Drosophila melanogaster: one gene and its partners. The protein of the gene in region 3 interacts with the protein of the main gene of each other region in a pairwise test. Each region holds a gene or a part of one and is shown on either strand. Other genes may lie near its edges.

What was found.
Region 1: the proteins of CG1314 (region 3) and CG9222 interact in a two-hybrid assay, tested with the Drosophila melanogaster proteins (one large-scale study listed by BioGRID).
Region 2: the proteins of CG1314 (region 3) and RpS28b interact in a two-hybrid assay, tested with the Drosophila melanogaster proteins (one large-scale study listed by BioGRID).

The regions. Positions count from the first base shown.
Region 1 is NT_033779.5:6,129,297-6,133,087, forward strand, and holds CG9222 (uncharacterized protein), read left to right. Parts: upstream 1-1,726; 5' UTR 1,727-1,890; coding exon 1,891-1,930; intron 1,931-1,989; coding exon 1,990-2,392; intron 2,393-2,451; coding exon 2,452-2,762; intron 2,763-2,816; coding exon 2,817-3,076; 3' UTR 3,077-3,188; downstream 3,189-3,791. Other genes in the region: tctn (tectonic), read right to left, coding at 1-588; B9d2, read right to left, coding at 591-684, 744-1,095, 1,167-1,254.
Region 2 is NC_004354.4:9,552,661-9,556,316, forward strand, and holds RpS28b (ribosomal protein S28b), read left to right. Parts: upstream 1-1,962; 5' UTR 1,963-2,049; coding exon 2,050-2,247; 3' UTR 2,248-2,268; intron 2,269-2,335; 3' UTR 2,336-3,001; downstream 3,002-3,656. Other genes in the region: l(1)G0320 (lethal (1) G0320), read right to left, coding at 1-123, 792-855; CG15317 (uncharacterized protein), read right to left, coding at 3,122-3,455, 3,515-3,586, 3,641-3,656.
Region 3 is NC_004354.4:20,867,411-20,871,005, forward strand, and holds CG1314 (uncharacterized protein), read right to left. Parts: upstream 1,988-3,595; 5' UTR 1,930-1,987; coding exon 793-1,929; 3' UTR 579-792; downstream 1-578.

The DNA of each region.
Region 1 (3,791 bases), on a different chromosome or scaffold from region 3:
ATTCATATCCGGCGGCTGCGTCTTTGTTGCTTTTGTGTTGCTGCGAAAGACGCACAGCCAACCATCGTTGATCTGGCAGGTGGGCAAGCCGTGGGTGTACTGGAAATCCTCCAGGCGCGATTCAAGCTGCGGGAGCAACGAATTCGGCAGGCAATTGAACACTTGGCGGGTTTCCAGAGGACAATCGTTGTCGCAGCAGCAGTTGAGATCGCATCTGCCTGCCTGAAGATCACAGGAGCAGTAGTAAAATGTATTGTCTCCGGATACGGACAGGGTGGAGTTCACTTCAGTAGAGTTCAAAGGTAGCGCCGTCGACATGGTTGGAGATGCCACAGCCACCTTGGGCTTCTGTTGGACACGCGGTGGAAAAGTGATTGCAGGCGTAGTGGTGGTCACCTCCGCCTCCGGCAGCGTGCTGATGGAGCTGACAGTTTCGCTGCTCGGAGCACCGGTCGTGGCTGGGGCTTCCGTTGTAGTGGACGCCGTTGGCGATATTGTGGCATTGTAATTGTGCGAGATTCCAATTTTAATGGAGTGTGTGTGGTATGTGGCCAGGCACAGGACGACTAGTGGCAACACTTCCTTCATGGCTACTTGAACTCCACGCCGTATTCGTCGAACTTTCGAAAGATTAGGTTTAGCTCAACAATGACCTTTCCAGAACTCAGAGTTTGTAACTTGTAACTGTGCGAGAAATATTTACTAAATAGTCAACCAAGTGTAAAGAGGTTTCCTTAACTCACCGCTCAACACCCGAGTAGAGCAGATCCGTCTTGCTGAGGGCCGCTCCTCCGCCTCCGAAACGCTCACGCAGCGACTGCCACAAGCCGTTGGGAGCAACCTTCCAGGTGCCGATCTCCAGGCGATGGGTGCCTGGTGTGGACGGTACGTGCACAAAGCCGTAGCCAACGGGCCAGGACTGTTGCAGTACGTTAACGGCGTACACTTCCACTAGCAGGCGGGGCCAGCCCTGGACAGATGCGGTGCTCAGATGAATGTCCAGCGGCTGCGCGAAATCCGAGCTGCTCTGGAGCCGGTGGGACGCCACGTGGCTCTGACCCTGAACCTCGCCCTGAACCAGGCGCCAGGCGTTTCCTACCGAGCGGGCAAGCAATTAGGTTAATTGAATTCCGGACAGGTGTATCTGCTGCGTGGGGGAAACTCACCGCTCTGCAGACTCCACTTGCAGTACAGATGCGGCTCGGCAAAGTCAACAGCTTTCAATATCTGCCCGATTATGTGCACCTCCGCCATCAATTCATCAACTCTGAACTTTATATTAGTCGGCTTCTTAGTCAGTTTTTATCACTGGCTTATTCAGTTGACTGGCATTCGGTCAAATTTTTTGGTTTCGTTGTTTTGGCAGTTGACCGTTGTCAAAGTAACGGAAAAGCAGGGAGGGTGCTGCCAACTCATGCGGAAAGGCAAAGGAACTGGTTCGCGTTGACAGGATCAATTTAAAAAAAAATACTTTTTTATGGATGTAAAATATATTTATTTCTTTATGCTATTATCGAAATGAGTTTGTTTTCGCCTTTCACGTCTACCAATCAATATAATCGTGATATCATTACAATATTACGCCACTATTTTAGTTATTATTTATTATTTACAGGTTTTGCTTGCTTATTTGGTATATAGAGTTCGTCTTCTTCTTATAAAGTAAATTTTTGTAATCGAAATTCTGATCTTAGATACTCTAATCAAAAATGGAAAATAATTTGTAGTAACGTATAAATATATATTTTCATTGTATGTCACAGTATTGGAGAAAAATTCGCAAAATTTCTAGTTTCCTAATATGATAAATATTTAATGAGTCTTTGTTTGATCACGATATTCCCGTATTATTGGCGTCGTTGGTGAACCGTACTTGTGGTACCCTTTTTAATGGCGACATCTCCCAGAAGAAAAAACGATCAAGGCGGAGGTAAGTGCTCAAATCGCTTAAAATTGTGTTTATTAAAAGCACCATGCGATTTCCGCTAGTAATTGGCGCTAGCTCATCGCAGGACCTCGTCACTGACCAGAACTCGGGTCGTCGTCAGGAGCAGAAGGTCTACACCTTCAGTGACCGGCCACCACAACCAAAGCCACCGGCACCATCCGGAGTCGTTCCGGTAAAGGCCGACGACAAGTCGAAGCCGCAGAAAACCATTCTTGAGGAGCATGGCATCATACTCGGTAAGGTTATTGGCACCGGAAACTATGCCAAGGTGAAGATTGGCTTCTCCGAGGAGTACGGAAAGCGGGTGGCTGTCAAGATCATATCCAAAGTGAAGGCTCCCTCCGAGTACACGCAAAAGTTCCTGCCGCGAGAGATCGAGGCGGTGAAGGGTCTGCACCACGAAAATCTGATAACTTTCTATCAGAGTATCGAGACCAGTCATAGGTGAGTCACTCTTGATGGTATAGAATAATGCTAATATGAACTATTCTTGATGCACCCAGGGTGTACTTGATAATGCAGCTGGCCGAGAATGGAACGCTTCTGGACTACGTTCGTGAGCGAAAGTTTCTGGACGAGCCGCAGTCACGTACGCTATTCAAGCAGCTGGTGAGTGCCGTGGAGTACATCCACAGCAAGGGAGTGGTGCATCGGGATATTAAGTGCGAGAATCTGCTGCTGGATGAGAACTGGAATCTGAAACTGATCGACTTCGGGTTCGCAAGGAAGGATACCCGAACCTCCGACAACCAAGTGATACTCTCGAAAACCTTCTGCGGCAGCTATGCCTACGCCAGTCCAGAGATCCTCAAGGGTGAGTCGCGTATCTTTAACGTAATTTAATGCTCTAATATCAATATAATTGGAGGCGTCGCCTATGATCCTTTCATGTCGGACATCTGGGCCTGCGGCGTCGTCTGCTATGCGATGGTCTTTGGACGCCTTCCCTACGATGGCTCCAATGTGCACATCCTGCTCAAGCGCATCAATCAATCGCTGGTCTTCCCCAAATCCCCATCAGCTTCCAGCGAGTGCAAGCACATGATTATGCATATTCTAGCACCGGTGAAGATCAGGTACAATATTCCGCAGGTCAAGGAGGACCCTTGGTATTCGCCTAGCAAATAGTTGCTACTCGTTTATGGTGCAGTGCAACAAAGCTGAAAAATTTCAACGTTTAGAACTAACAAATATTATAATTTTTCGATTCAAGTCAATAAATATATATTATTAGATTAGCAAATTTAAGTGGTCAGTCCTTTGGTTTTTTCCGTATTATGAGATAATCACAGTTTTCCATAAGGCAAGAGATAATGTTGCACCCTTACTCACGTCCCACATCTGAGCTCTGAACTTTCCCCTGAATTGTTCCTGCTTGTTGGAGCATGCATGTTAATGTCCCGTAATCACGTTGATTTCACAATATCCTTGCGCATCCTGCTCGGGGCAATGGTGGTGGCATCTCAGCTCGGGGCTTGCTCTTCGCAATTCTGCTCGGCAATGTCAAAATTGTTTGTGGCAGTTGCCACCGCAGCTGCGTCGCCTGCCAGCGGAAATGCCGTTGCAATGGACACACAGATGGGAGGCGCCAGGACCTTCTCCGCCACCCACTTTCTACCCCCGAGTCGCCAGTTGTGTCACACGCAAAACTGACAAAACAGCAAAAATGACAACTGAAATATGCGATGTTGGGCGAAATTTGCGAGAGTCAAAAGGAGCTGGCAGCCGGCGGGATCTGCCCCATCCTGAGAGCCATAAGCCAGCTCCAAGCTGAGAGCTCTGGCGTTGTGGTTTGTGTCACTTCAGGTCATCATATGGATGCAATCGCCATTAGAGGTGTACG
Region 2 (3,656 bases), about 11 Mb from region 3:
TGCTGCCCGTGTCGCTATCCTCGTCCGCTTCTGCATCCTCGCCAGTAACGGCACCCTCCTCGCCCTCCACGTCCACCAGGTCGTCCTCCACGGCCTCGGCGGCATAGGCTCCAAACTTGTTGGCTGTAAATTAAAGAGAGAGTTTTGTTATGGTGAGTGCTGAAGAATTGAAGACATATTAAGTCCTTGGGTTCAAGTACACGGAACTACCTTCGCATACTACTCTTTGAAACTAATCAGAGATATGATATATTTAGATTGGTTTTCTTCGCAGGTTATAGTTACAGTTACACCTATTTTAATAGCTATTGTAACGGGGTCATTTGGCTTGCATTTGGGTACTTTATACTTGATTTATAGTTCACAACCTAGCAAACTAGCTCTGCGCCTGTCTGCAAATTTGGGATATGGCCAGCCGATCAATGTGAAACTAGGATATATATCGAGTATCCTTAAAAAAAAAACACCCTTGTGCTCAGTTTGAAGCTTTGATCTTGGTAACTAAACGAATTCATAGACATCTCAGACGAGCCAACTCACGAGTCAGAGCGAGAGGTCGATAGGCCTCATGCCAACTCAACAGTTTTGACCGTATGATAAAAATTCGACCACCAAAGATGAATGAAAATCACTGAATTACGATGTTAGTATACGGTGTGCATTGATTGGCAGTCCCATAAAGCATAATCCACGTAGCAGATGCGTCGGCAAAATGCCACGTATACGGATGGGAACACCCCCGCCCACCGAGCGATTGTTATTTATCGGCGAGGGTAAGAGACTCTACTTACGCGCCGAGAAGGTGCAGATGACGATGGGCAGGACCATCAGCATTAGGAACATCAGATGCCTCATCTTGTTGGCTGTTTTATAATGTCGTCGGGGCTCCAAATGCAATCGAATGCGCGGCGCACACACGGAAATTTGGCTGGGAAATCGGCTGAGGGAAAAACGCACGCACACACAACCTTCCCGATCGAGTGAAAATGAAGAAGTGACGGGCTTCGGTGGTATAGCGGCGAAAACAGAAGCCGACAATGCACGAAGTGGGCACGAAGCCGAGACACGACTTTCACTGACAAATGTCTACGTGGTGCCACGTCTAGGGTTGCAAGGGCCTCTCGATCCGTAGGTCAATTACTCAGTTTTTAGCTATTTAGCTTACTCAGGATAGGCATTCTGCCTAGTCATACATAAAACATTCATTTGATTATAGTTAAAAACATTTTCTCATATCTAAAATAATCAATAATATTAGATCTTGGCTTATTTTGTTGACATTTGAGTGCACCGACAACTCTAGCGAGACAAGTAGTGATGCCAAACGCCGCAACTGTCATTCCTCGTGTTTTTTCATGTTTATCATTTAAAAGCAATATTTTGGTCAACATAATATTTTATGCAATTATAAAATTCAAAATATATTTATTTTTTATACCAAATATCATTTTTTGACGGAGGTAAAAATGCTACAAATATTTTACAGCACTGTTCGGCCATCGTGCTGCCAACTTGGCTATTACACCGCTATTATCTGGCTATTTTTTCTGCTAGAAAATATTATGTTGACATTATTAATATAACATTGTCTGTATACCAGAAATATTATAAAACAAAATTGAATGGTCAAATTTAAATGTAGCAATACAAATTGGAAAAATTTTTAAAAAATCAATAATAGATATATGAACACAATTTTCTATTGTTATTGTGTGAACAATAAAAGTTCGCTTAAAGATTTAGGAAAAATGCAATTAAATATAAATACTAATTTTTGGAACACGAACCATTTAAAAAAACAAGGCATACGGAGGGTAAAAACTACTTTTTCGAGTAGTAAAATAATTTTTTTCGCTATTTTCTAGCCACTCAAGCGCAATCGATAGTGAGCGGGGCCGTTAATCGCAGCTATCGATTGGCCTGCGCAACGCAGCCAACTTCACGTCGCTGTGCCGATAACCGCTCAACTTCCTTTTTGCTTGCGGCTGTCAATTGAAGCGCATCTTGCACGTGAATTCTCTGCGAATTTAGCATTTTTAGCGATCTAACATGGACAAACCAGTTGTGTGGGCACGCGTCATGAAGGTTCTGGGCCGCACCGGCTCCCAGGGTCAGTGTACCCAGGTGAAGGTCGAGTTCCTGGGCGAGCAGAACCGCCAGATTATCCGAAACGTGAAGGGACCAGTTCGCGAGGGCGACATCCTGACCCTTTTGGAATCCGAACGTGAAGCCAGGAGGCTGCGCTAATTGGCGACCAAACTCGAGAAGGTAAGCGCACCTGGAATATTGGCCACAGTGAACACACGTCTTAACACACCTTCTATTTATTCCGCAGACCTTTTTACACACACATACACAAAACTGTTTTTCGCACGCGCCTTGTTTTTTTCGCGGAGAAGAAGAAGCGGATGGCAAGAAATCCGAACGAGGCTGCTGCATATTCGTTATAAACAAATGAAAATACACACCTAATTCGCCAGAAAATCAGCAAAAATGTGTTTTAAATAAATCTCGAGAGCATTGGACCGCCTTTGTACGAAAAGAAAACCAATCAAGCCTGTGTTTTGGTTTCATTACCTTTTTTGTTTCTGTGTTTTTTTTGAGTGCCCAGTGAAAATTGACAATGGAATGTGGTCTTCAAGCGACTTCCTTTAACAATATGTATTTGCATTTAGCAGAAACCCTTGCCTTCTCGGAAATCAACAAAGAAAATACAGACGAAATTCTCCAGTTGCTAAAAACACGTTTCGTTGATTTCCTTATAAACGCAAAGTTTTTCTGTTAAACACAATGATCAGAAGTTCTGGACACGTTAACATCTTAAAAAAAATGTTTTATTTTTTCGTCCACGAAAAGATATTTCAAAGAGAGGCCAGCCGAGTGATTATATAGCCCAATCACATTTCAGATTTGACAATCAATGTTAATGAATGCACAGTATTTTTTGTATAAAAAATAGTTTAAATATTTGAACTGCTGGAGCTGCACAGAAAATATACGTAACATTTTTATAATAAAAGTCAATAGCTCAGTTAGTTAATATATAAAACATTGTATAGCAAATTATGGTTTAAAACCACTGAGGTGCATATGTTTCTATATTCCTTAAGCCTAATTTTCCCTACAAAGTCAGCGGAAAACTGGACAGTCTCTCTATTTTGGCCAATCCAAGGGTAATGCGTGCTTCTGCAGGTTCCGGCAGTTGGAGATCGGATTTGAAGGACTCCAACGAGGATTCGGGTGCGGAAAACTTGGGTTGCAGCTGACTAAGATGAAGCTCTAGGTATTTAACCTGGTTCTGCAGCAGTTTCAGCGATTCCTCCAGGAAATTTCTGAATTCTGTCAATGCTGCAGGTGTTTTGGTTTGCTGCTGCTCATTACATAGGTGCAGGCACTCAATCTCGAAGTCAGTTACTTGGGCGGATATCTGCCCTAGCTCGGAAACCAGTTTCGATCTATGAATTGGATGGCAAGGCAAATCAGAAAAGTTTCTGGCTGGGATTAGGCCACTTACATGCTGTCCTGCAGGCTACGGTAAACATCGTGGCACACCGAAAGAAGCGCAAATGTGGCAACTTGATTGGAACTGCAACAAAGTGGCAAATTAGCATTGTTTTCATTTATCAAATGAAGTTTTTACCCCGTGACCAGTCGAT
Region 3 (3,595 bases):
GGCCCCTCTCCACAACACCCCTGTTCACAATTTCTGCGGTCTTGTTAGTCTGGGCTGGCAAGTTGGTTAAAAAGTTGTTGATGCAGTTACTCCTCCTTCTGCCCGCCACGCCCCCTTTTGCGACGACATTTGTGCTAATGGCTGCCAACGACCTGGACAGCAAAACCGAACAGCCCTTGTCCCCCTCTTTTACGACGCCCCTGCCCCACATGGCAAACATGTTGCATACGCTGCGGCGTAAGCGAAAAATTTCCAGCGAACAGCTTTTTGGCCAAGCAAACACACAGCGGGTTAAGTGGGCGAGTTTGCCACAACATTTGTGTTCAAGAATAATTAAATTAAGCTGTCAGTCTGACCGAGAAAATTGCAAATACACTCAACATTATGATGCACTTTCAAATGTACACATACCATACATACAAGTTTGAACTCAAAGGGCCGATTTAATGGCAGTTCGAAACTATTATTTATTTTATTTTATTATCGACTAAACAATTAATTATTTAAACCTATTGAACGATGTAAATGGCACTTTCAAACTAATTTGTCATCGCATTAATTAATAACAATTTAATTTTAGTTCTAATAAGGAATTTGATCTTTACTGATACAATTTTGATGAAAATTTACAAGATTGCATATGTTGAATTGCTTATGAGATATGGTATTTCGTCCAAGTACAAAGTGATCCAAAATAATTTAAAAAAACTTGAAACAATTTTTAGGTACAGTATCAAAGTAATGCAAATAATTTTGAAAAATCATTCCAAAAATCATTGTGATAGACTGCGTTTAGTTCGCTTGAGGCCCTTCTGAGTTCCCAATAAATACCTCCTCCTTGGAGGTATTCTCCTTTTCCGCAAGTTCTATTTCGATGTCGTCTTCGCGAAAGGTGCCCTCATTAGGATTAGGCGATATGGGCCCCACTCTACCCTCATCCTCTAGAATGGTGAACTGTAGGTCGACGTCCAGCGTGTAGTCTTCAGTGTGCTCCTTCATTTCGCGATGTGTGAATCGCATAAAATGCGGACTGTCCGAAAGCAGATCGCAATTCTTCAGGGTCTCCGAGCCTTGACAGGTCTGAATCATCTGCCGACGTGGCACTCCCGGAGTGTTTTCTCCGATATTCACGGATACCAACAAAGGCGTCTGGGCCTGGGGACAGCACAGCCACAGAATATAGATATGGGTCACTCGCGGTCCGACGGGCATCGAGTCCCAGGAAGTCTTCCACAGCATTATCAGGACGGGCAATTGGCACTCCCAGTCCTTGTAGATATTGGGTAGATTTAAGTTCCTGGTCGCGTTGTTGCCACTCTCGTAGATCATCAGACCCACACAGTTGCTTTTGCCCCTGTCCTCGGGCAAGGATTTTCCACACAGCTTCAGAACCTTTGGCTCCTTGGGCTTCATTTCCATTGTAATAATGTGCTCGTGGTGCATCAGGCAGTGACTTAGGAGCTGCTCAGGATTGAACATCAAGTCGCAATTGCTCAGCGGACAAGCCATGTCCAGCTTCTGCAATCTCCAGTATTTGCGCACCTCGACTGCAGTATTTCTCAGCCGCTCATAGCGAATTTCCGGAGAACTGATTCTGCCATGTGGGGAAGCGGAAATGGCTTCTGCGCCGCCGCGCATGGGCACTCTTCCGCCCGCCGGAAGAGACAGCTTGCAGTCCATATACAAGCGCCTACGGTGATCGGGCATCAAGCTGGTGAAGCAGATCTCCACCTCCTCATCGGTATCATTACCATCGTTCTCGTTCTCCAGACGACATGCACTCGCCATCACAGCTTCCGGCGTGGTGTCCAGGGAGTACTCCGACTGAGCGAGATCCAGGACGGCAGATATACCAATGCCAGACTCGGAGCACCTACAGAATGCACCGGATGTCGATGGTTGCTCGCCCTCGCAATTGTTGTTCTCCATTTAGGAATTTTTAAGAAAATGTCGGTTTTTTTTTTTTGTGATTATAATTCTGTGTGAGTCGAACTGTTGACGTCTCGACGTAAAATTATACTGATGACAGAAGGTTAGAACAAATGAAATCAACTTTTGATTACTTATTTCACAAACTACTTGTTTATTTTTTTTTTCTAACGGTTTCAAGTTAATATTATGTGATTCTTTTAATGAGTTCCATGACGGAGTCACGAGCGTGGAATTATCGTCTTTAGAAGAGATTCCTAGACTGCAACTGAGACAATGCTATCAAAACTCTGGAGAACATTTTGTTGCATTTGTAATTTCCGGTTTCGCACACACATGCATACATAGTTGAAAAAGAAAATGCGAAAGAAAAATGTGTCAACATACAAGACAAAGCAAAACACAAACAAAACTCAAGTTGCCTCTGTAGAACAACGAAATGCAACTAGGGGTAAAAAGGGGGGAGGGGGAATCGCTTCCAAGGGAGAGGGCAACAGTCGGACTAGGACTGCAAACTCCCTGTGGCCACCCCCCTCCCACGCCACTACTTTCGTCCACCTCCCACTGGCAACTCCTTTAGTTTCAAATCGACAATGGAATGAACCGCCGCAGAGGAAGTGCGGTCTATTGCAGTAAAATCGGAGTTCAATCAACATATGTCAAGACCTTCAATAAATTTAAAAGATTATGACTGATTAAATCAAAACAAATTTTAAACCAATTTCATAAACCAATTTCATAATAACACTGATTATTTGGATAGCTTTTGTTAATTTATTCACTGTAATATGTATTAGATATTTAAAAACTTCTGTATAGCAAGTGTATATTTAAATTGATTCCGATTGTAATTTATTTAAGCTAATGAGGACAAGATGCATGAAGAGATAAAAACATAAATGAAGAACGTTATTTCAATTAATAAGTATTTTTTGGGACCTTTTATACATTTATGTCGCGCAACTTGGTAACAATAATAAAAACGAGCTGAGTCACGTGCTCGCGCCGTTTGTTTATGGCTTTCTCCCTTTTACTTCGCTTTTACTTCATTAGTTTCGAGGGGAAAACTCCACCTCTCTTTCCTTAGCCATGCTCCCTGGGTTTTCCGCTCTTCCCACTTGGTATCGCTTTTCCTTTTCGAGCTTTTGAGCTGCAATTGTCAGCTTACAGTGCAGCCAACCGCAAATGGCAAACAGGCCAAAGCCGCTGTATCTCTAGATTCGATGATATCTTTAAGACGGATTTTCATTGCTTACCGTTTGCTTTAATTGAGTTTTTACAATTTGATATCTACCTAAAAGGAAAGTAGCCTTCTTCATCATAAGCAACCCTCACCTGAAACAAATAAGAAAACATTTTTGTCAGCGAATCAGCATTCAAGAAGTGCTTGTATTAAGAACCAACAAGGAAAGGATTTTAAAAGGTCAATTGAAGAAAATTCAACTTTGAGCTCGCACATTTGCACGCACACAGACCCCCGGGATGCAGTGGGGTTAAGCGAAGGGTTCATAAGGCACATATCCACACATAAAGATTTCCATTTCCCTGCTGCTGTCTTGACAACAACCCAGACAACAATGTGTAAAACAATTGTGCTCGCAGTTAATTTGTGTGGTACGACAATCTAGTATCACCTCAGCACTCGAAGAAAAAACGCGCAGAACAT